Linked DNA regions of Oryzias latipes. The protein of the gene in region 1 interacts with the protein of each later gene in a biochemical or structural test. Links are inferred from orthologs where the notes say so. Each region holds a gene or a part of one and is shown in the gene's direction. Other genes may lie near its edges. The genes, in order: syntenin-1, syndecan-2-A and frizzled-7.

Region 1 (9,808 bases):
TAGTGTCTGATCAACACAACTGTTCTCAGTTTTGAGCACGCGGGCCAATTAATTTGAATGCTTTTGCTTTAGTTTCCCCTTTTTCTTTCCTTGATTCCCGAAGACGTCAGCATTTTTTCCCCCTTTCCAGTCTTAATAAGTCATGTTTCTCGTTTCTTCCGGCTGTACCTTTATCAAAATAAATGGTGATCAGTGAAAATGTATTATTTTGATAGGATAAGAGTTTAAATTTAAAGCTTATATCATTTAAAATAGGAAAAATAATTATATCAGAGTGGCTAACTATAAAAAAAATGTATATCTCAAGTTTCCAATCAAAGTGGATCACTCAAAAAGTTTGGCTAATGGTTAATAAGAAAAAAAATAAGCTAATTGTTATAAGAACTGAGGCACAACACTGGTAAGAACAGGGATGAACTATCACTTATAAATTAAACCTTTTTAATTATTTAAGCCTGTCATTTTTGGTTATTTTAAGTGTGTGGTGAGTCCATCTTAAACCAAACCAAATATAATTCTTAGAAGTTAAGGGCTGCTTTAACATGTTTTCATTTGTTTGTTTTCCGTTCATGTTTTTAAAGGAATTTGTTAGTTTGACATTATATTTATAGACTCAAGTAGAAGTAAAGTTTATAAAAAAAAAAAAAAAAACAGTAAATGAATAATCTGCTAGATTTTCAGAATAAAGCAGAAGCTTTAGATCGAGTTCTGCTGAATGGGCTGCTCACACCAAAATATGTTGAATGGGAGCAAACACATGCCAGGCCTGGTGTGTCTGAGCCTTTGCACAAGCTTTCTTTGGCATTCCTCCTAATATAACACTACTTTGAGTTTCTTGACTTTTTTTTGCAAGCAAGTTAGATGAAACATTTGTTTTAAAAAAACTAACAGGAAACCAGTACACACATATTTAACAGTCTGAAACAAAAGAAAATTCTTTTGTCATGTTAACCTTCACTTGTTAATGTGACCTTCATATATATTTTCCGTCATCAGAAATCTTTACCTTAACAATCCATAAAAAAAACTTTTTTAACCTCCTTCAGAAAGGGTTCCTTCTTGTATATTTCAGTAAAATGATCTGCGCCTTGTTTTCCGTCGCAGTGGCAGACGTCTCAATGATCCTGTTATGTCATCTGAAGGGTTGCTCAAATGCTGCTGTTTTGTTTCCAGGCGTATTCATGTTCAGCCAGAGAGTCTGTATGAGAGAGGCATACAAAGCAAGCAAACACATAGCTGAAGAGTAAACAGTGGAAGGTTAACAAAAAGGCCTCTCTGTGTCCACACACACACAATGATGCACTTGTCCTGGAGGACTGAGATGAGCAGAATGGAGTGAGCCCTCAGTGATGTTAAAAAACCAACTGTTGCTTGATTTATGCTCTCTACATAAACTGGATTGTAGGACCTGTTTTTGTAGCTCTGATGTTTCTAATCTTCACACTTGAAGCAGCAGCTCTTCAAAGCTGACAGTCTGCCTCACAGAAGAGCTACTCTGATCTCAGAACCATACTTTACATCAGCCTCCTAATGCACATCGATATAATGATTGACTTAGTGCTGCACGGTGGCCTCTTTGGTCTTAACCGACATGTTAAAAGTCCTGCTCCAGCGTCTTTTCCTGTCTATGTGTCACATGATTTTTCCTGATTAGACCGCGCTGTTTCAGTGTCATTCTGTGTGTGAACTGGTGGATAGATTCTGATCAGTTGAGATTCCTTTGCGGATTTTGGAGGATTTGAAACGTTTTCACATAAAATAAAAAGGTTCCTAAAAAGCAGCATTAACTTGATCTAACAGCTGCACGTTTCTATCTAATAAGATCTGCTGACGCAAATGGTAATAAAAAGAGAATGCAAACTTCACCTGGCATTTCTCGTGATCTCACATTGTGTAAAACACATCCGCCTTTACTTTAACAGCACCTGTTTGGAGACACAAACGTCCCTATCATTTCCTACCATTGAGCTCCTGTCTGAAACGGGAAGCTATGCAGAAGAAGAGAACTAAGAGTCGGGCACTTGGATCGTAAACACATGCCATGTGAGATGACTATATCAGTAAATAGACTGTATACATGATGAATACTTTGGGTACAACGTGTTCTGTCTAAGCTAAATTTTTCTTGCCTTTTACTTAGTATTTTTGCATCTTCTGTCTTTTTTTTAATAAGAAAAACGTAATTAAGTCTTTCATAACAGCATTTCATGATGAGCCAGTAGTTCGCTTAGATAATGAAACAGTTCCTGTCTGGTTTAAGGGTTAATAATCTAACCTGCCTGAAGACCCACTCTGACGACAATTGTGTTTTCAGTGTTTTTAACATGTTATTGTGGCGTTTTCTCATGATGGAGGACATATATAAAATAAATTAATTTCTGAGTATTTCTTTATTCAAATGACTGTGAATCAGGAGCTGGACGATAAAACGCCATTTGAGAAAAGGCTTAATTGTGATGTAGGAAATTTGATCTAATGGAATCTAAATGATTTTAGGTAATTCCTACTTTGTAAGTTTAGTTTTTTCTATCAAACATAAAAAAAAGTGAAAAGAAGAACTGGCAAGGGTGAGATCAGCTGTTTCTTTGCAGGCTTAGGATTTGCGTCCGAGTCTTTTCAACACAAAGGCTCTTTGTGGAATGTGAGTTGTTTAGTGTATAAAAGTAATGGTATCAATTAAACATGCATAGTCAAATTCCACTCTCAGACATACTTTGCTCATTAGCTGCCTGCCATCATACTACAGATGGTTTCTGAGCTGCTGCGTTGTTTTGAAACCTCAGTCAGCTGACTCATTTCCTGATTCCACATTTTGGGGGGTGGAAATGTTTAAAAAAAAAACTGTTTCAAATTTGGTATTTCTGTGTTTTCGTAATCTCAAAGCCTGTTTGCGTCCTGTTGTCATTTGACCTTAACACATTCCCATGTTATGAGAATAAGTGCAGATTAAACCCATTTATTCATGGAGTGTGGACGATGAAAACATGAGCTGTAGACGTGGATGTGATCGTTTTTAAAGCTTCCTTCTGATGGCAGCTGATCAGTCCGGATCTTAAAGTTTGTGGTGCTAAGCTCCAAAAAGACTCCTTTGTTTAGGACATATATGTCTTCATGTGGTATTTATAAATCCAAATAAATATCTCTGCTTCGAGGAAACTGTTTCAAACTCTTCAGCTCTGCGACCCACAAAGGTGCAGTGAGTTTTCCAACTCTACACCCACAGCTGCTTCACTCCCTATTTTTAAAAAAAAATGGTCTGGAGTGACCTCTTCCGCAGCTTCCTGTGCCTAAAAAAACAGAACGGGACATTTTTCTCTGAGCTGAACTAGAAGTGTGTCTAGTAGTGTGCGATTGACCCAGTGTTTGCTTGTTTTGCATCTCACATGCAAGTTGCTTTGAAATAAAGTCTTTTGTTAAATGAATACATGTAAAAATAAACCATACAGAAAGTTAACAAACAACAAAGCCGTTGTATAAATCCATTTTAGCATGACTCTGCATATGAGGCCTTCTCGGATGTGATGCAAAACCTTGAAAATATCGTTAGTTTTCCTCCACTGAAGATGTTTATGTGATGGATTCTGCCGCTGTGGTCAAAGCACTTTGGTACCAGAGCATCAGTTCAGTGACCCAAAGGAATTGTGAACACAGGCGTGAATTTGAGGTCAGCTGGAAGTAATTCTACTGTTTTTATGTTTACGTTACACTTTTCATGTAAACATAAAGTGCTTCACACTGTGCATATGACAATAAACCCTTGGAAATAACCCAAGTACAATAAAATATAAAACACACACAATATAAAAAGAATAAAAATCTATAGAATTAAAACACATCCATCTATTTGTCCAATCAATCAATCAATCAATCAATCAATCAATCAAATCACAACAGAATGAGGAAGCGTTTAAAAAAAGAAATAGAGATGAAAGTATAAATATTGCTAGAAAACAAAAAAACTAAGAATATAGATTACATTTCCTTTTAAATATTCAATGAAAATAGAAAAATGGTAATCCAAATTTTAACTATATATTCCTTTTTCTGAACCCACTGAATCCCTCATAGTCATAAAAATTAGACCATGCATGTAAAAAACAAAAAAGGTTAAATTTAATAAAAACTAAATGCAGGAAATAGAACTGAACATTAATACACGAAATGAAAAATGTTTCAACCTAAGTTAAAAAAATCAAACAAAAAGGCTTTTCATGATCCTGACCTTCACTCCCAGATGTTTGTGTTTTCTCCTCAGCATGTCTCTGTATCCATCCCTCGAGGACCTCAAGGTCGACAAGGTCATCAAGGTAAGAGGAACTTTGTGTCAGTGACGTGACTTTAACTTTGGGTTATAGGAAGTTTTTATAGTTTATGTGATGCAGACAAAATTTTGAATCAACTCTAAAACTCTTATAATGCATTGATTTTCAACAATGATCCCAAACACAATAAGGAAAGTGACCACTGTCGTGGTTTTTCATGAGGTCTAAATTCTGTTTTCACACTGTGGTAACCTGGTTGATGGGCCTCGGATGTGGTCAGATTAACCAACATTTTTTCAGTCGGCGATGGAATATATGTCTCTAAGCGCAAACGGTTCAGTAACGCAGAAAGTCCTGACCATATATGTTTATCTGAAATTGCATTTAAACAGAGCTGACTGAAGTGTTTGCTGTTTTCAGGCTCAGGTCCAGTTCGCTCAGACTGCTGCCCCCATGCCTGCCATCACTGAGGGAAGCTCCCAGCCTGAGCTTGCTGCTGTTGCCATGCCAGCATCCGGTGAGTGGGACCGGTTCGAACTCCAGAACCACTTTCCAGATTGACCCTTTCCCTTCTGTTGAGCTGCAGTGTAAACTGGTAATGTATGGACAAAGTTTTGCAGAGGATGAAGTCTGTTAAAGGAGCTGATTGGTGTTGAAGATCGGAGCTAAAGTTGTTTAGAAAAACAAGAGGCTTCACTTCCAGAGTAGAGTTGTCTTACATGTGGAGTGATGTCTGCAGGAAGCCTCTTAATGATTCTATAAAATGGAAAATACGAACAGACAACCTCCAGGCTTTGCAAAGGACAACATTTTGATTATCTTCCCTCTTATTGTTCCTTTCATTTACTTTCTCTTCCCTATTTGGATGCAAAGTCCTGAGTGCTTTTGGTTCTTTGTGTTTCCTCACCATGGTGACTGGCTCAGGCAGTAATGCAGTGGGGATATGGTGTTGGGGGGGTTGGCATAAGGAAGGGACTAGGTTTTAAACGTGACCTGAAAGGGAAAAGAGGATGTTAACATAAATATGGACGGGATTGGAGATTTGGTTTAAATCTAAAGCTTAAGGGACAAATGTTTGGAAACCTCTTGTTTGTTTATCTACAGCAGTGTTTTTCAACCAGTGTGCCGTGGGAAATTGCCCTCAATAACTGATCTAAAAACATTTTCCGTCTCCAGGATATCAGCTCTTTGTTCATCCAAACAGGTCCTGATAAAACAATGAGTAGTTAGGAATATGAAAGATTGTAAAACACTTTTTTCTTTGTGTTTATTTGATTCTATTAAAGACATTTTGATAAGAATCTAGCCGTAGTTTCAGACGTTTTCGGAAAATTCCCACCCCTTTAACTGTCTCCACCAATCATTCTTGGAGGCCTAAAGTCTTCACTTCCTTGTTCTGATTCAGCTCATAAAATCGCTCAGTTCTAACAAAAATATCAGCTAAAGCTCGTCTTTAGCGGTGTATCTTTCCGCAGGATCCGGTATCAGACCGTGGAACAAGTGAACAAAACAATGAAGCTCAGAGACGCTAGTCTGTCTGCATTCGGCAGCTGTTTGCACTAGATCTCCCATGATGCATTGGGTTAAAGTGACAGCGTCTCAGCGCACAATGATTTTTTGTTGTTAAACGTCTTGAAAACACAATGAACACACATCAAACTGTTTTTAAATCTTTTAACTTAACTTTTATTACATCTTTTAGAAAAAACAGCTGCAGCGTCCAGCTTTTTTTGCCACAATCATCACAAAAATCCATGTGAGATTACGGAGGGACTGTAGATCAATACAGACTAGTATGATTTTCTCCTTTTTTTTTAAATTTTTGGATGCTGGTGTGCCGCGGGATTTTCGTCAAGGTTAAAGTGTGCCGTGGCTCAAAAAAGGTTGAAAAACACTGGACTACAGTATATTCTGTCATTGGTTAAAGTCCCGCTCCAATCATATGTTGATCCATTTTAAAAGCGTTCCCCGTGGCCTTTTAGTTATGATTATGTTGTTTTTAGTAAAAATCAAAAAACCTGTGTTGTTTTCTAGAACATAGTTTCTGCAGAGCAGCAAGAGTTTATCAGAAATTTGTCTTCTTGGCGCAGAAGTAAGCCTGCACTGATTTCCCATCATCCCCATGTTTACGTGCTCTCTATGCTAGCTTACAGTCCTTCACAACCCCAACCTCACATTACCAGTGTAGCAAAAATGGCGAGCAATATTGGAGCTATCCATCCGTAGAGTTTTGATCCAGATTCCAGCTCAGACGAGAAAAACAAGTGGATGCATCTGAATAGAGCGGAGCAGGGAGTTTGTGGCCCACCAATTGTAGTTTCTACGTAATAACAAACTTTTTTCTCACAAAATATTTTCCATCTGCTTCTGTTTATCACAACTACTAGAATAAAGAAATACTCAGAAAAACAGTTTAAATATTCTTCTTATATGTCCTCCATAATTAAAAAAAAAAAAAGCTACAACAACCTGTTACAATCACCAAAAATACGATTTTACAATAAACACGCCCGTGTGGTAGAACTAAATTAATGTCCTTTTCTGGGTGGAGTTTTTCCATTGTCAGAGTGAACATGGCCGATATAGCCCTCATTAAAATCCCAACATTTATTCATCAGTAGTATCTAGGATTGTTTTAAATTTTTCTCATCTCCAGTCTTTTCCTGTCTTTAAAGTCCATCCTTCGTATTTTTTCACCAACATTCTTTCCGTTTCCTTCTGTTCTTTATCCTCTCAGGTTTGTACCCAAATCTGGGGGAGCTGGGAGACTACATGGGTCTGGCCCTCAACAGTGACGAAGTCCAGAAGAACTTGGCTCTGCTGCCCGTCGGGGACAATGTATGGAATGCAGTTTGTAGTTTTTTTACACTTTGAAAGCATATTTGTCTGGAAGTGTATTGCATTCAATGAAAGAACAAATGGGGTGACCTTTTTTCTAATTTTTCATGTTTTTCTTTTTTTTTAATACATGGAAAAATTAGAATATGGAGTGCCTGTTCCGAAACTGTATATTTTTATATATTCTGTATATATTGTATGATGATCTGCTCTGTTGTTGTTTTTCATCTTAAATTCAAAGATGATTTTTTTTTTCAAAGATGCACAAATATGCATGTCATATGTGCTCAATTGGTAGCTGACATAAAAATATCAATATTTTCAACATCAGTGCATTTTTCTTGATGAAACATAAATCCCCCTTTTTTTTATTTATTTTTTAGGATTTTTAAACTTGTAGTATCAAACAGATTATCACTGCTGCCTTTCAAGCTGTACAACCACAAAGTCTGTCTCTTTGGTTACGTGTCAATGTGCCGAGTCATTCTGGCCACATTTCTAAAGCGGAACTAAAACGGTCACTTATTCAGCAGAAATGTTCATGTCAGTCATTACTTTTTAATTCATTTATTTACTGATCTCACTGTGCTGAAATTATCATGTCTCCAATTAGCTTGACGCATTTTGTGTTTCATTCATGGATGAAGGGAGAGAAAAACATCTCATTGATTGTTGAGTTTTTCTGCCCCCTTCTAAAAAGCCTTTTCTTCCTTCTATCCCCCCTCCCAGCAAGTGGCGGTGCCCGCCAGCTCAGGGGTCGGGGGTATGGTGCGGCCCGTGACCGGGTCAGACATCGGCATCCTGCGGGCTGAGATCCGCCCGGGGATCCGAGAGGTGATCCTCTGTAAGGACCAGGACAGGAAGGTGGGGCTGCGGCTCCGGGCCATCGACAACGTGAGTCCGCTCGTGTGACGTGGCTCGCACTTCTGCTCTGATAGCAAGTAAAGATAACTGCAGCTCCTCTGCTCTCGCTTCCAACTGGAGCTCCTCCACCTCTCTGACGTAGATCCATTCCTGCTTCACTCTGCCCTCCTGACGGCACGCCATTATTCTCTGATAAAGATGATTTCCGGTAGATAATCGCTTCTGACTTGCTCACCTTTCATTACCTATAAGTTCCCAGAAGATTTTGGTGGTCATTTTTATGTTTTAAAGCTCTGCCCATCAGCGATTCCTCTTCTCTATGAATCACTGAGCTTTAATAAATCTCATTTAGAGTTTACAGTAGGATGTAAAATGCCTAAAAGTCCTCTCATCCTTCCTTCTTTTGCTTAAAAAAAAGCTGAGAAGATCTTTATGAGATGTTCTTAATTTTGGTAATGGTGCTTAAACGATGAGGAAACCAGGAGACGCTGAAGGATTACCCACGAGAAATCCTTTCTTTAGTTTGGCCTAGAAATGCCTCTGTCCTCTTAACAGAGGTGAATGTATCCTCTTTCCTCCCTGAAGTGAAAATTAACCGAAGGGTTAAAATACTGGACTGGTGTATTGTTCTGCTTCTGTGCATTCTTGTTTTTTCTACTCTTTTGTACATTTTTCTGCCCCATAGAGATCCTCCCTTTGATTTACTGAAACACTGTTTGTCTTCCTAAAGGGAAATGGGGTCAGTTCAAAGTCAGGACTTGCAATGATTTCATTCAGTTTGGTGACTACTGTCATCATCTCATAAAAGACGTGAAGGAACATTTAAAAAGGTCCAAAAGGAACTTCTGAGATCTTCTCAATTTGAGCTGCTATAAAAACTGATGTTTGATGCAACAAATGCATTTGGTTGTAAAGCAGAGGTAAAGTTGAGGCTTCGATGGCAATCTATGGATCAACGGAAAGAGTGAAAACATTTTCGTTTTGATTCAAGTAAACAAAAGAGCATCTTTGTCACATGGAGGGAGTGTCGTCTTCCACCTTGAACCAGGGAATGCGGTTCAGTGAAGGAGGATGATCGTCTTACAGCTGAAGCAAAACAAGCTCCAGTTTAGTATGACCTAAAAAATAGTTTTTTCTTTTTCTTTAGAGCAGCTTTTCTTTTTTTTCTTCTTCCTTTTTTCTTTTTTCCTCACTGATTTAACAAACATTCTCTGGTTTTAAAACAGTCTTAAAGCATATTAAACACAATTTTACAAATAAAGGTCAAATTTGAATGTGTTTATGGTTATGGCTGTAGCTCCGATTTAAAAGCTTTTTTATCACACTAAAAAGCTTTCATCTCAAATGTACAGTGTTCCTTCGTTATATCTCAGTTCACTTTTTATGGTTTCAAAGTTTTGCAGACAATATATAAGCACTTTGAGTTATGCTTTTATATGGAATGTGCTTTATAAAGTTTGATTTGATTTGACATGTCGGTGCAATATTGCATGCTTTTAAAAAAAACAATTCTGAACACTGTGTTCTGCATCCCGATTGGCTGTTGACCGTCCTAATCAATCTCCTCTGTGCCGTGTGTTCTTTACGGATTGTGTGCCGTTTGCTAAATCTAAATCGATCTTTGTTTCCCATCTTTATTTCTGGACTTTTTTACCATGAAAGTTTGAACTATCAGGGTTTATACAATAGAGAAAAGTGTTAAAATGTTCATGTCTGTCTGAGAAAAGCGTATAAAATGTGTAGTCAGGGGTTTACAGCCTTAAAACATCTGTAGTCCTGCTTCACAGATTTCCCTCATTTCAGGTTATTTTTAGATGCAACGTCCTCGATAAACAAGGGAACTC
Region 2 (10,600 bases), on another chromosome or scaffold:
CAGAACAGTTGATTTTTCTGTGAACTATGTTGTTATTCATGTGAGCCTTTTTCATCTGGAACATCTGATAAGTCAACATTGTTCAGTTGAAATGCATAAAATACTAAACAATGCACTAAATTTTTCAGTTGATTATGCTGAAACACAGTGCATAACACCAATCAGCAAGCATAAAAGCTGCAGCAGAAATGTTCCTGTTTGATAAAAAAATGATGATCAATGCTTTTTGTGTTCTCAGTTCTTCCATTATCGGGAAACCTCTCAGTCAGTTCTGCCGCAGCAGCCTGAGACCTTTAGTGGAACAGATGGAAAACTGACGAAGAGGAGGAGAACGTTACACCGGACTCACTTGTTTTTTTGGTTCTACTTGTGAAATGTGTCACTCTTCCAACACTTGGAACTTAATTTATTAAGATCCTTTATAAAGAAAAAAGTGAATTCAAAGTAGATTAAAAGTACAAACAATATTATGTACCATATTTTTTAACTGTAGGGTGCAGTGGATTAAAAGGCGCACCATCAATAAATGGTTTATTTTTGAATTTATATCATAAAAAAGGGGCACCGAAATATTAGGCACATTAAGCGAGACAAAAGAGTCAGAGATAAGTCCCTAAGTCAGTCAGACTATATTAACTGTGTCCACAGTAACTCAAGAACTGGTTTGTGACATGTTACACGTTAGCCACGTCAGCGTATTCACAGGTCTGTAACTCCTAACCTTGTTTGCAACACACTACCAACAACAAATGTTACTGAGACTACGCTAAATCCTAAAATTGTTGGTAACAGGTAAAAAACACACAGTCCGACAAGGTAGCTGGGTTAGCGTATTTACAAAACACTCAACCTTTTTTTGCATTTTGTAAAAAAACACAACAAAACGGATACTTTGACAGAGTGCCGTGTACCACTTAAAATAGCTTTTTAGATCATTAAGCACAACCATGATTAATCCACATATAAAGCACTCCGGATTATAAGGCAGGAAAAAAAAGTATTTAAAGTGTGCTTTTTAGTGTAGATAATGTGGTAAAGGAAAATTGGGCACATCCTGTGTTTTGCAAATGTTAAATTATTGCAATGTAGAGTGGGGAATGAACAGGAGAAATGGAATGTTGCTAGAAGAAACAGATTACAGGCCTTTAAAAAGGTTAACATGTTTTTTTGTGTCACGAGCCCAAAGGCGGGATGCCGTAGCAACGCACACTCGAACACCACCAATCTAGTCTGTACATTTACTGACAATGGCCAACAAGTATAGGCTGTGACCAATCAATCTCAGCTGACAATTCCTAAACTTTTAAACAGGTGCAAAAGAGGTGCTTTCTTCAACTCATACAATCATTTGGATGTTCCAGTTTTCACGTACCTTTCCGAACTTCACACTAAAGTTACCGAACCTGGTCCCTGAGAATCCAGGGTCTGTTTTTACCCCTTGTGCTATCTTAGATGACCCCACCCTTACATTGATGTGTTCTCCCTACCATGACAAAGGTGGATAAAGGTGGAAAGATTTCATGTAATCCATGGAAACCAGTGAAGATCACAAATCCTTGAAGAAAAAAGGTTCAGCGCACTGTCTAGTGGGTCTAGATCAGTGTTTTTCAACCTTTTCTGAGCCACGGCACACTTTAACCTTAAAAAAAATCCCGCGACACACCAGCATCCAAAAATTAAAAAAAAAGGACAAACTCATAGTCTGTATTGATCTACAGCCCCTGCACAATCTCACATGCATTTTTGAGATAATTGTTACAGAAAAAGCTGGAAACTGCAGCTGTTTTTTTCTAAAAGATGCAATAAAAGTTAAGTTAAAAGATTTAAAAACAGTTTGTGTGTTCGTTAGTTTCAAGACGTTTAACAACAGATCTCCTTTTGCGCTGTCACTCTCACAACCCAATGCATCATGGGAAATGTAGTGCATAAAACGGCCGAAGATCGGTTTTCGGAGCTTCATTGTTTTGTTCACTTGTTCCACGGTCTGACATCGGATTCTGTGGAAAGCTACAGCGCTAAAGACGAGCTTTAGCTGGTATTTCTGTTAGAACTGAGCGACTTTACGAGCTAAATCGGGACAAGGAAGTGAAGACTTTAAGCACTTCTGATTGGTCAGACCGATGACATGTGATTAACCCCCCCAACACGGGACTTTTCCAAAATACAGCCGAAGGTGCAGCTGAATCGCGGTACTCATTCTTATCAAAATGTCTTTAATAAAATAAAATAAACGCAAAGAAAAAGTATTTTACGATCTTTCATATTCCTAACTCCTCAGTGTTTTATCAGGGTCTGTTTGGATGAACAGAGAGCTAAAATCCTGGAGATGGGAAATGTTTTTAGATCAGTTAATGAGGGCAATTTCCCACGGCACACTTGGCCATCTCCCACGGCACACTAGTGTGCCGCGGCACACTGGTTGAAAAACACTGCTCTAGATGACCCAACTCCTAACGTCAAAGTGTCTAGGATAGCACAAGGGTTAAGGGGGCATGATGAGCTTCATCCAGTGTGTGTCTTTGAGCAAGACCCTTCAGGCTGCTGCCTATGCAGCCGGGGGAAGCCAAGTATGGGTTCTTGGCACCCTGTGTCATTATCTAGCCCAGATCAAATACAGGGTTGTGTCAGGAAGGACATCTGGCGTAAAATTCTCTACCACCTGTGCGAATCGGTGAAAGCTGATTCTCTGTGGCAACCCCTGATGGCACATGCCGAAAGGTGGCCTACCGGCATGATTAATTTATGTATATTTTCTTCTCCCAATTTTCTGTAACTTCTTCTAAAACTGCACATATCGTATATTCAACGAAAGCAAAGCTGCCAAATGTTTTGTGTGTACTATTTTGCTGATCAAACAAATGCCATGTTGCAAATGCTGTGATAGTCAACCAGGTGTATTTAGTAAACGGGGCCCTTTTTGGTTTGCTGGGTAATCTGGAGTGACTTTATAAGCATAACATCTGCCCTCTTTTTTTTCAGCCCGATCAGATCAGAGTTTTTAGACCTACCAAACATGATCCAGACCAAACAGATCAGTGTGAAACCCCCTTGCTCAAAAGTTCTCGTTTCCACGTTGATACCCTTTCTCACATAAATTTGTGACCACAATCCACTGAACAATCTCAGTGGGTCAGTGTTCTGGGTCATCACGTGTCCTAGTGTGGCCTTCCACACACACAAACACGCACATGCTGGCAACAGAAGGGGCTTTGCCTGAGTCCTAATTGGCCATATAATCTGGGACACCAGGAGGAGAGATAAATCCTGAGGAAGAGGCCTGAGAACTTCAGAGGGCTGGGGGATGGGAGACTTTTGCGAAAGAAACCTGAAGCCTTTGAAGATAGTTTTAATGGTTATAAAGGTAAAATGAAGGTGGGGCATTTCCTAAAGTGACCTCACCCCAATCAGCTCAAACCCTTAACGGACAGGTTTGACCTGGTTTCATTGAGAAATTGCAGAGTATCATTGGCGCAGAAGTGGAATTTCATATGTTGCTCAGTAATGACGAAAGCAGGCAGGTAGTTGCCAGACGTGGGTTAAACCAAATCCATGTGATGGTTAGAATGCAGAAATTTACGAAAATTCACAAATCATATACTAAAAGCATTAAAATATATTTATGTACATGAAAAAAAAACAGAAATAGAGCAGCTAATCTGTCATGTCTGACCAGTGTGTGTTTGATTGGCTGATTGTTTAACTCTTCAGTACAGCAAATTCTTGATATGGCTTCATTATTAATCATGAATTCTTAGAAAAATTACATTTTTGGTCAGCATAGAATAAGTGCTAAACTATTATGAGTATAGATTTAGTGTTACAATTGTAAATTTTATATACAACCAAAGTCCTACAGAGTTTTTCAACAAGATAAAAGGATTATCAGCTAAATTATAGGAAGATTTTATTGAGTAAAATGTGAAATTTAGACTAAACTATGTTCTGTAGGTGAAAATCTATGTCCTGTGTATCATAACTGCTTTATTTTGTGATATATGTTTGAAGTTTTGATATTAAAGGACGTCACAGAGAGAAGTTGCCTCGCGCCAGCAGGGGGAGCTTTTGTCCGCGTGCCGAACGAGTGCGCGCCTCTTTGCGCAGCTGATGATCAGCTGACTCCGCTCCTAAGGATCAGCTCGCCCACGCGCAGACGGACGCGTCAGAGCGTGACTCCTCCGGTAACGGCCGCGCGGCTCTCTTCACGTTTTTGTTTGTGCGACTTTGGCGCGAGTTCTCCCGGTGTCTCGGTGAAGAGAGGCGCACGCGCTCGCCGGAGCGCCCGCGCCTCAGTCTGCCCTCGTTTCCTCAGAGCCAGCGACGTGTCCTCGCGGGGATTTCAGCAGCCGGGGGCGCCTGTTTGCGTAAATTCAGTCAGGTTTGCGGAGGGGCAGGAGGAGGAGGAGGAAGAGGAGGAGGAGTAAACCCCCCTCCGGCGCAACACGTCTCCGAACTGCAGGAGGAAGAGGAGGAGGGGAAGGTTGTTGTTGGACCCGTGCGGAGGAACCATGAGGAGCGCGTGGATCGTGCTGACCGTCGCGCTGAGCGTCTTCCTCTGCGGGGACACGGTGAGTTCTCCCGGACACGCACGCGCAGCTCCGTCCGCGTGAAGACTGTTTGAAAAAGTTCAGCCTTCACAGCTGAAGGACCCAACGGCGGGTCGACTCGCACTCCGCTCACCTTCAGACGTCAAGTGAAGAAGTCATTTGTCAGACAGATGCAGCTTATCTGTGATTAGACTGAGGAGGTCTGAGCTTCACGAGGAGAACTTCTCCATCTTCAAAACAGAGAAGTGAAGTGGCTCCTCCAGTTTGGAGATCAATCCACAGATTTGACTTTCAGGAATGCAGACCTGGAATGAAAAGTCCTTCAGTTCCTCCTTCTGCTCTTTATGGTGGTGAAACAACAGCAGCTGAAGAGAGCAGCTTGACCTTCTCAGGTTCCTTGAACCAATCTTCTTTTGTAAATCGTTGAATCACTGCGGACCTGGGGTCTAGTTCTGCAGGATCTTCATGTGCATACCTTCTTAGCCAAACGCTCTGACCCGTGCTGTTCTGACCCGTGCTGTTCTGACCCGTGCTGTTCTGACCCGTGCTGTTCTGACCCGTGCTGTTCTGACCCGTGCTGTCCTCGTCTGAACAGCAGTCTGAGGTTCTGCTCCATGGTTGGTTGGTGTCACATTCTGGAGACATGTAGGGAGTCCTAAAGCTACAATCACACCAGCCACCAACCAAGAGTCAAAGTATCATAAAAGCTGAACACAAACAGGCATCGGTGTGTACGTAGCTTAAAATGGACGCATTTTAGTTGGAAGTGAAACTTGTAATTGTCTGAATTTGGTGTTGGAGTATCAACAAATTCACTTTGGATCCATCTCTGTTGAGTTTTGAGGTCCTGGAACACCTGAAGGTCAGTGGATCTGTTTGGTTCTGATGGACCTCCTGAAAGTTTGCTTTCATCTTTTTCTCAGTATAAGCATGATGGATGTTTGTTTGTTAAAGTGAAACCACTGTGAGCCCCCCAGGGCGCACTCAGTCCATCTTCCCACCATTACGCAATCCCTAATGGAGCCTTTGGGGGGCGTTGCAAGGGGACCAAGCTTTTTCTACTCTCCTTCACATCCAGAATGAACCCAACCATCCAGAGGAGGTTGGGTTCATTCACCAGCTCACGTTTCTTGCCAGCTGTTGTACCTCTTGTGTGCTTGTATTTGTTCTTTGGGACTATATGTTATGGGATCATGCTTTTGTGAGGACCAACAAGAACCGTGTTCGACGCAGAGATGATCCCCAAATAATAAGTCAATTCTGGTTAAAAGGGAGTCCAACCCACAATAACTTGTCCGATTTAAAAATTGCAATTTAGCTAATGTGGTGATATGGGTGTGTTCCCGAAGGGAAATATCACACACGTGCTTTGTGTACTTTTGTCCCCAACCCCCAAGGCCGTGAAACAGTAGTGGTCCATGGGTCACTGAGAACAAAAATAGAACTCTTATTCTTCTTCTTATTATTATTATCTGATTTATAAGGAAGTTTGAAATTGGAAAAACTATGGGATACTCTCTTCCACATTTGTCTATGACTCACTCTTTATGCACGTCTATTCGTTCTCCTCGATTAAGCATCGTGAATATGTTTACTAGTTTCTTAACCCTTTTACACTTGAGCTTTGAAATTCTTTCAACTACCCCAACTCTTCGACCCTAAATGGAATTAAAGTAATGCTATCGGATTCTTAAGCGGGGAGAAAAGTAGCCTTGCGCTTTGCACCAATATCCGCACAAAGTCGCTCTTCTCCGAAACAGAATCCGCTGGTTCTCGTCGATTGGGTGAGCGCTTCACTTCAGTGAAGTGTTCCAGATCAGACGGTTTCCCTCTGCTTTAGAATCTGCTGGAATTACTTTAATTGCAAAAATAGTTGAAAAGTTCTTGTAACTGAAAAAATATCAACACTAGAGCTGAAGCTTTGGAGTTAAAGGGTTCAAAAACTGAATCGACTCACCATTCCGTTTTTTTTTTAGATGACATCCTGTTCACAATTGTTGTCAAAATGGTTTTTATCAACATTAACCTTCATAAAACGCCGCTTAGCCCTGCTCTACATATGCTAGCCCTTTAGCGACTGGAGGAATCCCGACTCAATTTAGCCAATCAGAAGGACGGTTCTGTGCTACCATCAGCACAAACCCCGATTTTTGGACGCACAAAATCAGACTAATACAAAATGTTTACTTTGGCTAGAGTTTTCAGAAATGGTCGTTTTTATGACGCAAAAAAACTATCTTTTTGTGTGGGCAGCATCCTAAGCGCAAACAAACAAATGACAAGATACGGATGATAACCTACATCTAATGAAGGGCTTTCGGGGTTTGTGGGGGGTTGGTACTTTTTTGGCTGAAAGTTTTTGGTGGGGGGAGGATTATGGTGTGGGTTTAGTGTGGTATGCATGTTGAACCGATCTGGACCTAGTGTTCTTGTGTGGAAGCGGTCTCTAAGTTGATTCTAGAGTGAAAGAGCCTGAAAAGAGGTGGAGAGATGGGAGAAGTGGTTAGGCGTTTCCATTTTTCCACCAATAAAAACGGGCTTGTTTCACCCCCCCCCACCCCCCCCCACACACACACACATTGTGGTGGCATAGAGTTTGGACAAATGTAGGTTTGAGAAGTTCCCCTTCCTCCTCCACCTCCACCTCACAGGCTGTTTCTCTGGCAGGCTCCCTGAAGACCAGCGGCTCGCACAAAAGAAAACAGATCGAAGGCCGTCCACCACCAACACGGTTACTAAGTAGATCACGAGGAAGGGGGAGCCGGGGGACTTTCATTGGCCCCGCCTTTCTCTTTTTTCCTGTCCTTAGAGACTCATTCAATGTAAACTCTGAGGAGAGAGGAAGAGGAGATGTTTATATTCCTCCTGCGTCTCTAAAGTGGAAGAGGATGCGAGAAAGGGCAGACCTTTTAGTCCTAAATATCCTCCACTTTGTTGCTAAGATGACGGAATAGAAGTAAGAAGCCGGTAAATCACAGGGGTAGAAGATCAAATATGTTTTTGGATGTTATTCTGCAGTTTTTCCTCCAGAAAATCTAACAAATGTCTTGAAACTCTAGTAGTTTTACATTTGAAAATTCTCCCTAGCAACCGTTGTGTCCCGATAACTTTCTTGGTATTTGAAATTTGTGTTGACGATATTTTTGAAGTGTTTATGTTGCCATGGCTAAAATTAGGTGGTGGGGTCGTGCATCCCAAGGACAATCATTTTGAGGAGTATGAGCTGTCATTGTTATTCCAACATTTGTTGCATTAATCCTACAGCTTTAGCTCCGGTGTTAACATTCTTTTGACCAGCGTAACTCTTCAATCGTTAACGCAGTAACGTAATTCCAGTGGATTCTGAAGCGGAGAAGTAGCGGCTTTGGGCTGATGTGCAAAACATTACAGTAGTCATGTGTTTACGAAATCAACGTAAAACTAATGATTCTGTCGCAAAGAAAACCACCATTGCACGTATATGCAACACTTAACGTTGATAACGTGTTGCGTGTCGGTGCAAAGCTGATACTAAAAGCCACTTTACTCCACATCAGAATCAGCGGGTTCACGTTTGACAACATTTGACAATTCTTCCTAGCAACCACAACTTTTTTTTCGCATTTGAATTTTGTGTTGACGATAGTTTTAAAGCGTTAATGTTACCATGGTTACCTTTAGCTGGTGTGGTCATATATCTCTAAGACAGTCATTTTGGAGAGTCTGAGTGGTTGTCGTCGTTCCAACAGTTGTTTCATTGACCTTTTAGCTTTAGCTCCAGTGTTGACGTTCTTACAACTGCTGTAATTCTTTCATCGTTTACGCAATTATTTTATCGTAATTCCATCGGATTCTGAAGCGGAAAAAAAGCAGGTTGGTGCTGTTATGTAACACTTTACAGTGGTAAAGTGCTTACGCCACCAACAATTCAGCTGATTTTGCTTTTCATATCTGCTTAAAAAGCCGCTCTTCTCCACGTCAGAATCAGCTGATTCACGTTGATTGTGTTGTTACGGTCAAAGATTTACGGTTTGTCAAATTTAGGCGTCACCGGTAACATCTCTGGCGGTAAAGGGTGAAGAGCTTAATCTGAGCTTGTTTGTGTTCCGACTCGTGGTTGACATTGACATCATAAGCAGGAAGAAACAGAAGATCAGGAAAGCAACAAAGATCAGGTGGCAATAATCACAAGTGGACCTCCATCACCCGATGCTTGACCTGGAAGCAGTTTATGACCGCTTTGACTTCCTTTGTAGGACCCTAAGAAGATAAAGGTCTGATGAAGAGGAGCTGCACTCAAGGGTACATGGTGTTTCCTCTCAGTGAGCCCCAGAGAGGAAAAAAGAGGGCTCCCCATGAATATTCAGGGTGAGACGTGCTCACCATTGTAAGGCGTCGTAGGAGGCTGCAAACGCGGAGAAAACCAGCCAGGACCCGAATCTGAGCCCTATCATGGTTCCACCTTTGGTAAGAGATAGTGTTGACCAGTTCAGTCAAGCTTTTTGGACTGGAGAAGCTCAAGAAGATCCAGACAAGAAACAGACTTTTATATAACATTGAACATTGATCTTCACAAGACAGAAACTTGTTGAACAAACTTTGAGGTCAACAGAGTCTTTACATATTCTACTTCTGCGATCTTTGATCCGATCAAAGACATTTTGCACATGGAACCGCAGCCTCCTGGAAAAGTCTATTGGCATTAAGGGGTGGGGGAGATGAGATATAGATGTTATCACTGAAGTAGAATCACATATGTTGTCATGTTTAGCGGCCACATTCATGCAGACACCTGCTGCTCAAGTTTGAGTAAAAAAAAAAAAAACAACACTTTTCTCCACGTTTCTGACTGAAACGCTCCGCTTCAGCCGCGTCACTCGAGCCCAACGGTAGTTTTGACAGCTCCACAGGAGCGAGTGCGGGAACAAAAACCGGTTTCGGGGGAGTTGGGGAGAGAATAAAGGACTCTTCTCAACGAGAACATTCATTTTTCTCTGACAGGATCTGACGGTTTGAATAAGGAAGGCTTTCAACAGCGTAGTTCGTATCGACATGCATTTCCTTTGAGAAATGTAAGTGTGATGATTTTTGGTTTGAAAAAATGCAAAGAATAATAATCCGTCATGGGGGGTTTGAAAACAACTTTAATCCTTTTTTTTCACAGGTCAGACAATTGAAATGAAAAAATAAGGAACAAAAATAGAAAACCAAGTGTTGTTTTTTAAATTTTGCACAAAGAAGCTCCCTAATATCAATTTTGTGCAGTTTTAAATAATTGTATGCATTTTATTTGGTAACATGCTGAAAACAGATCCACTGGAATATCACATTTTGATCAGTCACCTTCAAAGATACCGTGTCTGTGTGTTTTTTCCTTCACAATAAAAGCTGAAGTTCCTGCTGAGTGTGAGCTGCTTCAGGCCTCCCAACAGGAGCTGGTCGGTCTGCATGGAACTGGGTGACGTTTTTCAGGTCACACAAACAAATCATAAAGCAACGCAGGACAATTGTTGCAGCTGATGTTGTTTCATCGCTTTATGGAAACTCTCTTTGAACCCTGGAGAGGAGGAAGCACAGCTGCAGAGGGGGAAGCGTGGGAAACTCTGAAATGAATCCTGATGCTATGAGACGGATAGAAACGTGATGTCATCCTAAAAGAACTAAAAGAATGATTCAAATTTCTATAATTAAAAGCCAATAAATATTGAAGTCAATACTATTTATGATTTATGAATCAAGGTGGTGTTTATTGGAGTTTGTAACATGTTCTTGTGACATTTGTTTGATGATGGAGGACATATTTAAAGGAAATTAAGCTAAATAAATTGCATTTATGAATATTCTTTGGGTCAAATCGTTGTACATCAGGAGCAGACGAAGAAATGCTGTTGGGAAAAATAGCATTTTTGTAACAGAAAAATGGCCGGGCGGGGCACAAGCTCCCTGCTCTGCTCCATTCGGATGCATTGACTTATAAACAAATGGATCCATCTACGTCTTTGTTTTCCTCGTCTGAGCTGGCGTCTGACTCAAATTTGTAGGACTAGATGGCTTCGATCTTGCTCGCCATACCTTTT
Region 3 (10,423 bases), on another chromosome or scaffold:
ACTTAATTACATAGTGGGGCCCAGACAAATATTGTTTTAAGTAGTGTGTCAGGATTTCTCTCAGGATTTTCCCCGAACTTCTCAACCATTTCCATGTGAAAAAACCCCCACAGAAAATACTGTCATAAAAAGCAAAATTGGATAAAAGATTGGTGTTGTTGCTTTTAATAGTTATTTAGTCTATAGAGATGATGCAAATGTATAAGTAAAAAAAGCTGCAAACTTTAAAAGTTCTGTAGTCTTGCTAAGCTATGAATATTTAATTGATGTATTCCTACGATAAATCAGCATGCTTGCTGGCTTTGGAAATCGACATGTCGTTAAGCTAAAATTCCTCTTTAAACCAAACTAAACAGGATTTTTCCACTTTAACTGAACATAAAATAGTCACTGAGTGGTGGGTTTAAGTGGCACCTCCAGTACTTTACACAGGGGTCCAGCTCAAATGACACGTGCACAGTCCAAGCCATCATCATCTTTTTTTTCTCAGTTTATATCTCGCCTTAATCTGCTGAAAATCCATGTGTTTGTATAACTCTTTCCCCCCCCTCCAGCTGCAGTGGACTGCAGTCCAAACAGTGAGTGACTGTCTGGATGGCTACCCATCTGCTTGACCACTGCTGACTCTATCCACAAACATATGCACTCACACAAACAAACCGTTGCACATTGACATGATGGTGTTCGTTCCATTTGACCTGATGTGGCTACTAACTGCTGGGGCTCGCACCGCAGACAGTGAATGAAAACAAGCCAAGGACAGACCCCATCCAAAACTCTATAATCCTGCTACAAGTATTTGCACAAGACTAAAAAGACTGTTGCCCGTCTTTGTGTTTTTGAAAATTATTGGACTTTGTGCATACTTTATCTAGCTGATGCTGTAGCATGAAACTTCAAATATAACTATCAAACAAATGCATTTGCTCACATTGTCCCAGGGTACAACTTGAATATTTTTGCATTTACTTCTTTATAACCAGCTCAAGATGCACCACACAACTGTTGACAATCTAGATGACATGTCCAGCCAATCAAAATCTACAGACATAGAATAGCAGTAGTAAAATATGTTCATATTTTTCCAAGAAGAAATATTTAATTAGCTATAGCAAATAACCTTTAAATTGTATTTTTGGGTTTTCCCTATTTTCCTCAGAAACTGTTTATATTTATTTATTTTTTCCTGATTTTACTGTTGTTGGGTAAAAATAACAACATTTTTTTTTACATAAATCAGTTACTAGTCAAACTGGGATAGTCTTTCGACAATTTTTTTTAACCAACTGCCATCACTAGTGACAATGTGATATGCATGCAGTCAATACTTTTCCTACATGTATCAATTGAACATGTGTCCATACATGAAATAGCACTTTGCCTGGATGTTGTGACAGTGTGAGAAGCCAAGCCACAGATTCAATAATGTGAACATATATGTTATTAGTTAGCCTCTCTTTTTGTTCCTTATGCGAATTTCCTCTTTTTTCTTGCAGTTAACAAGTAATGTGTTGACTTACTTGTAAAGCTTTTGTCTCTTTATGTACCATCTGCTTTTTTTGGTAATTAAATTATTGCTGGCTGTGATCAAATTAACACAGATACAAGATGACCATATTAGAAGCAAAGGTCACCAACAACAATTTGATTAAATTTCACTCAGAGTTTAAATGAAATTAGAATTTAGTTTTCTTTATTTTTTTTTTCTTCTTTCAGTTTTTTAAAACAGAAATATTTAAAGAAAGAGTTTCTAAAAAGTTAGATTTAAATCTGTGATTCAAATGACTGCGCCTCTGTGTTCAGTTTGTTGTAACAGCAATTACCATCCCTTTTGGGGGTCTTTTTCTGTGAGCGGTAAAATCCAAAACCCTTTGAAGACTCCATGCTTGTTTAAATACTTGAAATTTGTATTCAGCTCCTATACTTTTATTAGCAGTAGCGCCCTGGATGAGCTAAGGGTGAATTTTTGTGGGGTAGAGTAAGGCCATCTTGCATGCATTAGGATCAGAGTTTTTGAGAGCCTGAGTCGTTTTGAATTGCTAAGTTGCTGAAAGACACAAAGTAGGCCTTGCCTTTGGAGAAACAAGTCAGATAGTTCAGCAACTTTTTTCAGATTTTATACAGCAACAATACGGCAGACTGTTAGCATTCCGTGAGCAATTTCATTTTGTTTCTTTAAAAAGTCTATAAAGAAAGTTTGATCTCTGGTCACTTTTCTCTGGGATACTTCATTTAACTCCTCTGACATCTCCTTTTGGCTAAACCTCTCCTCCCACTCCTTTTCCTTCTCCCCCTGCCCTCTTTGACCTTTTCTCTTCTTCCTGTCCCTTCCCCCATCGCAGCCAACCCCCACCATCTTTTAAGCCCACTCAGGGTAGAAACACACCAAATGCAGCGATACTGCCATGCAGCAGCTCCATTCATTCCCTCCAAGCCTGCTTTTCTTTGCTCAGATGATCATGCTGCCACTTTAAATGACAGCTGTTCTGACTGTTGTTTTCACCGCCCTACAGTGAGGAAACGGAGAAGGAGCTGTGCCTTATTGTTTGAAATGATGCCCTAAACCAGACCATGTAAAACACAGCCCTGTTTACTGGTTTAAAATGCTGGAATCAACTCTACTTTTTGTTTATTGTTCTACTTTTTTAGATTTTTATCAGTTTCTGTAGGCCGTCACGTGTCCCACTTGCAACCTTTTTTTTTATTTGTGTGTAAATAGATAGTAAACTGCAATTTTGGATGCAATTGTTAAAAATTTAAAGTGAGCCACTTTTGAATTAGAAATCAAAAAGAAAACTTAGAAATGTTTCAGATTTTTTGTCATGGCATTTGGGGCCCTTTCCCATGCCTACATCCTGCCTTGGCAGTTCACCAAAAAATTGCCTCTGAGTTGCAGGTGGGATAGTTTGCATGGAGTAAGCCTGTCTTCAATTTCCATTATCTCTTTGTTTATACTCTATCCCACTAGCTTACAGCCCCTCACAACCCTACGCTAACATTAGCAGTGCAACAAAGAAAGTAAGCAATATTTGAGCCATCCAGCGAAATAGTTTTGAGCCAGATAACGGCTCAAAAGAGAAAAACAAAGACTTAAGGCCCGTACACACCGGGACGAATATTCGCCAGGCGTTATTCGCCAGCGTTTTTCGCCACGTTTTTTGTGTTCACACCCAGGCGATTTTCGCTGACGGTGAGCCGAGCGAACATGCAATTTCATTCCCTGACATTAGATGGCGCTTAATGTAAACAGAAATACTCCTGTACACAAGGTGGCGCTGCGCAACTTTACGCTTCTTAAAGTCGCTTTTCACTCAGAAGAAGATAGCAAGTATTTACGCGCTTGTCAGAATCAAACAAAGAAAACATGAATATTTCAAGCATCAGTAGCTCCAACTGGTACTTGGTAAGGGGATATTTAAGAATGTCCGTCATTATTTCTTTGCGGCAGTGTTGACGCTACTTGGCGTCTATCTTCTTCGCTGGTATGTGTGCTCAGCAAGGCAGTTTTGTGTTTGAGCGCCCCCAAGTTGTGTTTTACTGTAACTTCAGAAGCTCCAGACACGTGTGCAAAAGCGCCATTCTCATTGGTCGAATAGATTTCGACGCGACGCGTCGAAAAAAAAAAACGAACCCGAGGCGTTTTTTTTTTTGACGCTTTGTCGCGTGGCGTTTTTTCGCGTCGGCGTGCACACTCTCATTGGTGCCCTTTGTTTAGTCACGAGGCGTTAAACGTCGGCGAAAATCGCCGGCGAAATTCATCCCGGTGTGAACAGGCCTTTACATGGATCTATTTCTCTGCATGTGGATGCATTGGAATGGAGTGGAGCAGGGGAGCTTGTGGCCAACCGATTGCAGTTTGTATGCAACAACCACGTTTTTTCCCTCCGTTTTATTTACTTTCGGCTCTTTCTTATTCACCACGATTTGAATAAGGAAATACCCAGAAATGTAGTTTTAGTGTTAATTTTCTTTATGTATTGTGAAAATAATGCTACAAGAACATGAAATAAACACAAAATAACACCATTTTTATTTGAGAGGGTCTTTAATAAGAAACTAATAAAATAATAATGTTTGTTAACTATATTTTGGTACAGGCATTGGTTTTAGTTTCTAATACCAATAAAGTAAAAAGCTCCAAGTCAAAAAGGGTGGAAAAGGTTCATAAAAATATCTCAATAGAAAAAAATTTATTTAATGGAAATCTCTAGTGTCAAGTTATTAGTGTAGCATATTTCCTTGCAATGGGGAAATTAAAACCAATCAGGAACAAGTCACGTAGGAAAACAAACGCCCGGATTGGCTGAGACGTGACGCTGGTTTTAAGGCGCCCCGTCATCTATTGGGGGGGCGGCGAGTGAAGGGAATGGGCGCCTTGAAACCGGTGGAATCTGCAAGGAGTGAGAGCGAGCTTCTGGACTTCCAACCGCCCAGCGTGTGAACCGACGCTCAGCGTGAAGTTTAGCCCCAATGTTCTAGATATAGGCCATTCGGTGGTGTGTTTCCCGAATTTCGCCGAAGTGAGAAGCTTAATGTTTGGGAGACGCTGGGATTTTTTTTTACGGCTGAAGAAAACTGACTTGGAAGTGTTGTTTTCCATTGAGTGGGAGTGAGAGTGGACGGCTTGGAGTCACTTACAAAGAACACTAAGAAGTCATGACGCGACGGACGCTTTTCCTGGAGTTATTACCTTAAATACAGGGAAAAAACTCGATTTGGACTATCTTTTACAGTAATTGTTGGGACTGTAAGTTGAGTTTTAAAACCGCTGCGGACTTTTTGGTGTTTTTAAGCCTTTTCGAGTTGCCCTTAGTTGGATCAAAGTTTTTCTTTCCCTCCCCCTCCTCCTCAACTATGGCGGCGGCCAGGTTATCCACTGACTCCTTGTGGCTGTGGATCATGTGGCTTGTGTGCGGGCTGTGTATGCCAGCCGCTTCGGCTCAACACTACAGCGACAGTGGAATATCAGTTCCGGAACACGGATTTTGCCAGCCCATTTCCATCCCGCTTTGCACCGACATCGCCTACAACCAGACCATCATGCCAAACCTCCTGGGCCACACAAACCAGGAGGACGCAGGACTCGAGGTGCACCAGTTTTACCCGCTGGTTAAGGTCCAGTGCTCTACCGAACTGAAGTTCTTCCTGTGCTCCATGTACGCGCCGGTCTGTACCGTGCTAGAGCAGGCCATCCCCCCGTGTCGGTCGCTGTGTGAGCGGGCACGGCAGGGGTGCGAAGCCCTAATGAACAAATTCGGCTTCCAGTGGCCGGAGCGACTGCACTGCGAGGCTTTCCCGGTGAACGGAGGCAGCGAGATCTGCGTTGGCCAGAACACATCCGAACCCGGCTCACCCTCCTCCTCATCCCCACATGTGCCTGAGCTTGTAACGGTTCCACCCAACAGGTTTCCGAATCCACCTCAACCTCCACACAATTCCTACCACCAGTTCTCCTGTCCCTTGCAGCTGGAAGTGCCTTCCTACCTCGGCTACAGATTTATGGGGGTCAAGGACTGCGGGGCCCCCTGTGAGCCCACTAAGCCAAGTGGGATCATGTATTTCCGAGAGGACGAGGTTAAATTTGGCCGACTTTGGGTTGGCATCTGGTCCATCCTTTGTTGTGTGAGCACTTTATTTACTGTGCTCACATATTTAGTAGACATGAGGCGGTTCAGGTACCCTGAGCGACCCATCATCTTCCTATCCGGTTGTTATTTCATGGTGGCTGTTGCATACGCTGCTGGGTTTTTCCTGGAGGACAAAGTTGTCTGCGTGGATAAGTTCAAGGGGGAAGGCTTCAGGACTGTAGCTCAAGGGACGAAAAAAGAGGGTTGCACGATCCTCTTTATGGTGCTGTATTTTTTTGGAATGGCCAGTTCCATCTGGTGGGTAATTTTATCCCTCACATGGTTCCTTTCTGCTGGGATGAAATGGGGTCACGAGGCAATCGAAGCAAACTCCCAGTACTTTCACTTGGCTGCATGGGCGGTACCAGCCATCAAAACCATCACCATACTCGCCATGGGCCAGGTGGATGGCGATGTCCTGACAGGGGTGTGCTTTGTCGGGATCTTCAACGTGGACGCCCTCCGTGGGTTTGTGCTGGCTCCACTTTTTGTCTACCTGTTCATCGGCACGTCCTTCCTCCTCGCTGGCTTTGTGTCCCTCTTCCGAATCCGCACCATAATGAAGCACGACGGAACCAAAACGGAGAAGCTGGAAAAGCTCATGGTGCGGATCGGTGTCTTCAGTGTGCTCTACACAGTACCAGCCACCATAGTGATTGCGTGTTACTTCTACGAGCAGGCCTTCAGGGAGCATTGGGAGCGCACCTGGCACATGCAAACCTGTAAGCGCTTTGCTGTTCCATGTCCGGTTCACAACTTTGCTCCCATGACGCCGGACTTCACTGTGTTCATGATTAAATACCTGATGACCATGATAGTTGGAATTACCTCTGGCTTTTGGGTGTGGTCAGGGAAGACTCTTCAGTCATGGCGGAGGTTCTACAAGAGACTTGGCAATGGCAACCATGGGGAAACAACAGTGTGAAAATTGGAGGAAATAAATTGCGTCACATTACAGTTTTGGACAAAACACCATAAGAAATGAGGTCGAAAAGCTTTTAAGTCAACATGTTTCTCCCTTTGGACCCCCCCCTCAGTATTTGGCAACAGCAAAACTCTTATCTGTTGCCTCAAAACGTCGGACGAACCTTTATTTCGCTTGTTTCTGTTGCTCATCAGTTACATCAAAACCATTGCTTTCCCATCGATTTTCAGACAAAAACTGGTGTTAAAGTCTGTGCTAGTCCCTGGACTGAAATCCCAGACTGGTGAAGTTACTATTTGCATATTATCAATGGTATCCTCATGTCACAATAGAAATATCATAGTCCATTTTTTGTTGCCATTTTAAGGTGGACTAACAGGATGGACTCATTTGTCCAGAAGCGTGCCTGCACGGCTCCAAATGCTTTTAATGGTATGATTGTTGAACCACCAACAACCTTTGACTGTGAATTCAATAGACATTATGTGCTTTTAGCTGAACACGGAAAAAGCTGTATTGTGTTAGGTTTTCAGCACACAGCTGCATCTCTTCAAGTGAGAGAAGTTCTTCCAAGTCTGTTTTATGTGCCAAGTTTTTCACAGAAATATTTTTCTTCTATATTTTCCTTTAAAAAAAAAAACCAAACGATTTTAATGTCTGAGACTGAAGGGTATTCACTAAAGTTACTAATGGTCAATATAAGGATGAATGAAGTTTTCTTATACTGGTTTGCACCGTTATTGTTAAGTGTAAAAGAATGGCTGTTACAGAACTGACTTACCTTGGATCTTGCATTTTAACGAAGCCACACAAATGTCTAATGTACGCGCTGTAACTGAGACACACCAAGCCCATTGTTGGTCTCTGTGTGTGGTCCTTCCGCAGTGGGATTCCCTATCAGACAGACTTTCTGTTAAGCCTCAAAGACACCCAAAGTAGCATTTTCCTGCCCCACGTTTAATCCGTGGGAGTGCAAATGGCTGCTCTGGTGCTCTGATCTTATTTTGTTCTACCTAAAGAAGTTCACACCTGCTCAGTATAACTTTTACTTCCTTACCGTCTTCCTTCATGTTCTGAAGTTATTTTTTGTGCTTCTACACAAGCAGACTGAACAAGTTGTGATGTTATTTTAGTGTCTGGATTATTTTAAATATCCTTCAAAAGAACAGTGAAACTGCTGGTCTCTGTTCAGACTTTGTCTGATCTATTAGAGAAATGTCAGTAGAAGGTCAGAGGTTGCAGGGATTTTTCTATTTGAAAATGCAGTGTAGGCAGATTCGATTAACTTTAGCCATTGTTTAGTGTTTTCTAGGGACTAAATCACCTCAGCGTGTAACAGATTGGTAACGCAACGTGTGTGATGTCCACTTTATCTAAAACGGGACATTGAATGTTTGTCAGATCACATGATCAGAACATATATATATATATATATATATATATATATATATATATATATATATATATATATATATATATATATATATATATATTATATATATATACAAAAAAAGTTAATTATCCTTGGAAGATATGCGCGGTATCAATAAGGTGATCAGTTTGATAGGTTTTAACTTTAACACTACGAACATGTTTTTATGGGGGATGGCACAAGTCACAATGCTGCTCTATCCACCCTGACTAAACAATAAAATTAGGAAAACATACGCGGAATCTGAATCAGCTGGATGGTGGCATGTGACCATAAGGTCATTTTGCTCTTTAACAACATAGTTTCTCTGTCTATGTCCTGTGTCCCTTTATAAAACATAGGAACTATCTGTAAGATTGTAGGTCAATGTGCAGTTTCATGGTCAACTTCAGATCTTTTAAATCTCCAAAGCTGTGCCCTCAATCCATCTATATTTTTATTATTATTATTATTGTTAAGAAGTTTCTGCTTTGTACCTACCTTTGTGTTATCCTAAAGGCAGTTTGTATATAGTAAATTTGTGATATTTTCCATGTGAATGTACTGCATACCTCAAACCCAGGTTAAAGTCGGCTCAAATGATTGACGTATTGGAAGTGAGTCGGCGAATCCACAGTCAGTCATTGGGTTGTTTTTTTTCTTTTAACCAAATATGATAAAGTAATTCTGCTAATGCCTTGAGACAGCTAAGATCTGCCATTTCCAATGACACTAGACTGACCTTTCCTCTTTCATAATTAACTGTTTATTTTACTTTAACAACAAATCCAAATCAGCAAGTAAAACATTTGAAAACTTTGTATTTATGAGAGGGTACCTTTTTTTTTTTTTACTTCTTTTCTCTTTTTACTGAGATAAGCCTTTTTGCAAGTGTACATTTGAATAAAAGTGATATAAAGTTTGTAAGGCATCCACTAGTCTCTGTGTACACATTTTTGGTTTACAACGAATCTCTATCTTGTTTGTTTCATCATTATGAGGACCTCGTAATTATAATTTAAACTTTGTTTTTTATGCTGACTTAAAAATAAAATTTCCATATATTTTTCAATTTAAGTAAAAGGAAACATTTATGCTACTAAAAGATATATAAAAAAGAAACCTAAAAATAGGCTCATAAACTTTATTAGATTTCTTTTAGGCTTAAAAAATGCAGAAAACATGACACAAGCCTATATTAAAAAACGTAATTTGAAAAATTCATTGTTTTTTTTCAAAGCAAAATAGTATATACTAGAAATACTAATTGTTAAATTTTGAGAAAACCTATAGTTTTAGAAAAACTAGTAACACACTGACCTCTCATGGCCACATATAGAATCAAGAGTTTTTTTCTTTTTGGTTCAAGCTATTTTATCCAATATGGTTTTTAAAGATCAGCTCCTAGTATGTTTTTCTTTTTCCTTATAGTTATGATTTTTGAAAAAATCTTTTGATCTTTGTTAATTGAAACCAAAAAGGAAACACTTAAAAATATTTCTGCTTTCAGATCTCCAGAGACGTTTCAGCCAAATTTGAAAGGGTTCAGCAAGCTCCTTTACTTTAGCTGTTTCTTTGCGGCTTTTCAAGAAGTGATGTGTCACTAAAATAAACAAAAGTGCACTAAACTGGAAACAATATGTGCAGTTTTTATAAATATAACATTTTAAGCTGAAAGTAAAAATATAAAATATTTTCTTGCAGAATTCCATTTGTGCCTTCAAAATCACTTTCTAAGATATGCACACAACATCCTTAATAGCATTTTTAATGCTTTTTTAAGCCTTTTGTGGATGTTATCAGGATTTAGTGGCATTTCTGGCTTTTCATAAATTGTAAAAGCTATTTAAAAAAAAACTTTAAAGTGGATTCAGTTGAGACTGTTAAATACTTTTTTTGGCAGTTATTGTTTTTCCTCCATTTTTTTTCCTTCACATTTTTTTATATCAATTTGCTTTTGCTTTTTTAGCCCCTTGTGAAAGGTTTCCACTTAACGTCATTTAAAAGCTACTGTTGTCTTTGCGTTTACGCTTAAGGATATTTCAGAATCTTTTGCGGTCAGAATTCAGTTGAGCATGTTTGCCTGAAAACAGTTTTTATTGATGTAAATTAAAACAATTGTTTAAAAATGTCTCTTTTTATTCCACTTTAAAAAATTAAGATTCTTTAAACTTTAACATAAATTCCATAACCTGTGTTTGTTAGTGTAAAATTTAAACCTAACAGAAAAAGACCTTAATGAAAATATCTAGTTATGAAACTTTTGCATTAATGAAAAAAGCCCATGATGTTTTGTTTTTAATATAACAGGACGGAAAAAGGCTTACCTGAGGGGACCTGATGTTTTGAAAGAGACACTGAAACACATCCACACATGGTAATTAGTCAGTTTTCCCATGAGTTCAATTTGGATGTGTTTTTTTTTTAAATGGTCTTTAAACTCATGAGACTTGGACATAG

Evidence for each region.
Region 2: the proteins of syntenin-1 (region 1) and syndecan-2-A form a complex in vitro, tested with the Homo sapiens proteins (3 studies listed by BioGRID and IntAct, with this or other methods). The link is inferred for Oryzias latipes from reciprocal best matches to the Homo sapiens genes SDCBP and SDC2.
Region 3: the proteins of syntenin-1 (region 1) and frizzled-7 interact in a biophysical measurement, tested with the Homo sapiens proteins (2 studies listed by IntAct, with this or other methods). The link is inferred for Oryzias latipes from reciprocal best matches to the Homo sapiens genes SDCBP and FZD7.

Annotation. Positions count from the first base shown.
Region 1 is NC_019865.2:5,709,339-5,719,146, reverse strand, and holds part of syntenin-1, read left to right. Parts: intron 1-4,255; 5' UTR 4,256-4,256; coding exon 4,257-4,307; intron 4,308-4,682; coding exon 4,683-4,779; intron 4,780-6,999; coding exon 7,000-7,100; intron 7,101-7,829; coding exon 7,830-7,994; intron 7,995-9,808. UniProt on the Homo sapiens protein: Multifunctional adapter protein involved in diverse array of functions including trafficking of transmembrane proteins, neuro and immunomodulation, exosome biogenesis, and tumorigenesis.
Region 2 is NC_019869.2:20,660,135-20,670,734, forward strand, and holds the start of syndecan-2-A, read left to right. Parts: upstream 1-4,127; 5' UTR 4,128-4,505; coding exon 4,506-4,565; intron 4,566-7,940; exon of another isoform or gene 7,941-8,698; intron 8,699-8,779; exon of another isoform or gene 8,780-10,600. Other genes in the region: ppp1r36 (protein phosphatase 1 regulatory subunit 36), read left to right, coding at 239-317. UniProt on the Homo sapiens protein: Cell surface proteoglycan which regulates dendritic arbor morphogenesis.
Region 3 is NC_019879.2:16,920,715-16,931,137, reverse strand, and holds frizzled-7, read left to right. Parts: upstream 1-4,379; 5' UTR 4,380-4,854; coding exon 4,855-6,552; 3' UTR 6,553-7,986; downstream 7,987-10,423. UniProt on the Homo sapiens protein: Receptor for Wnt proteins.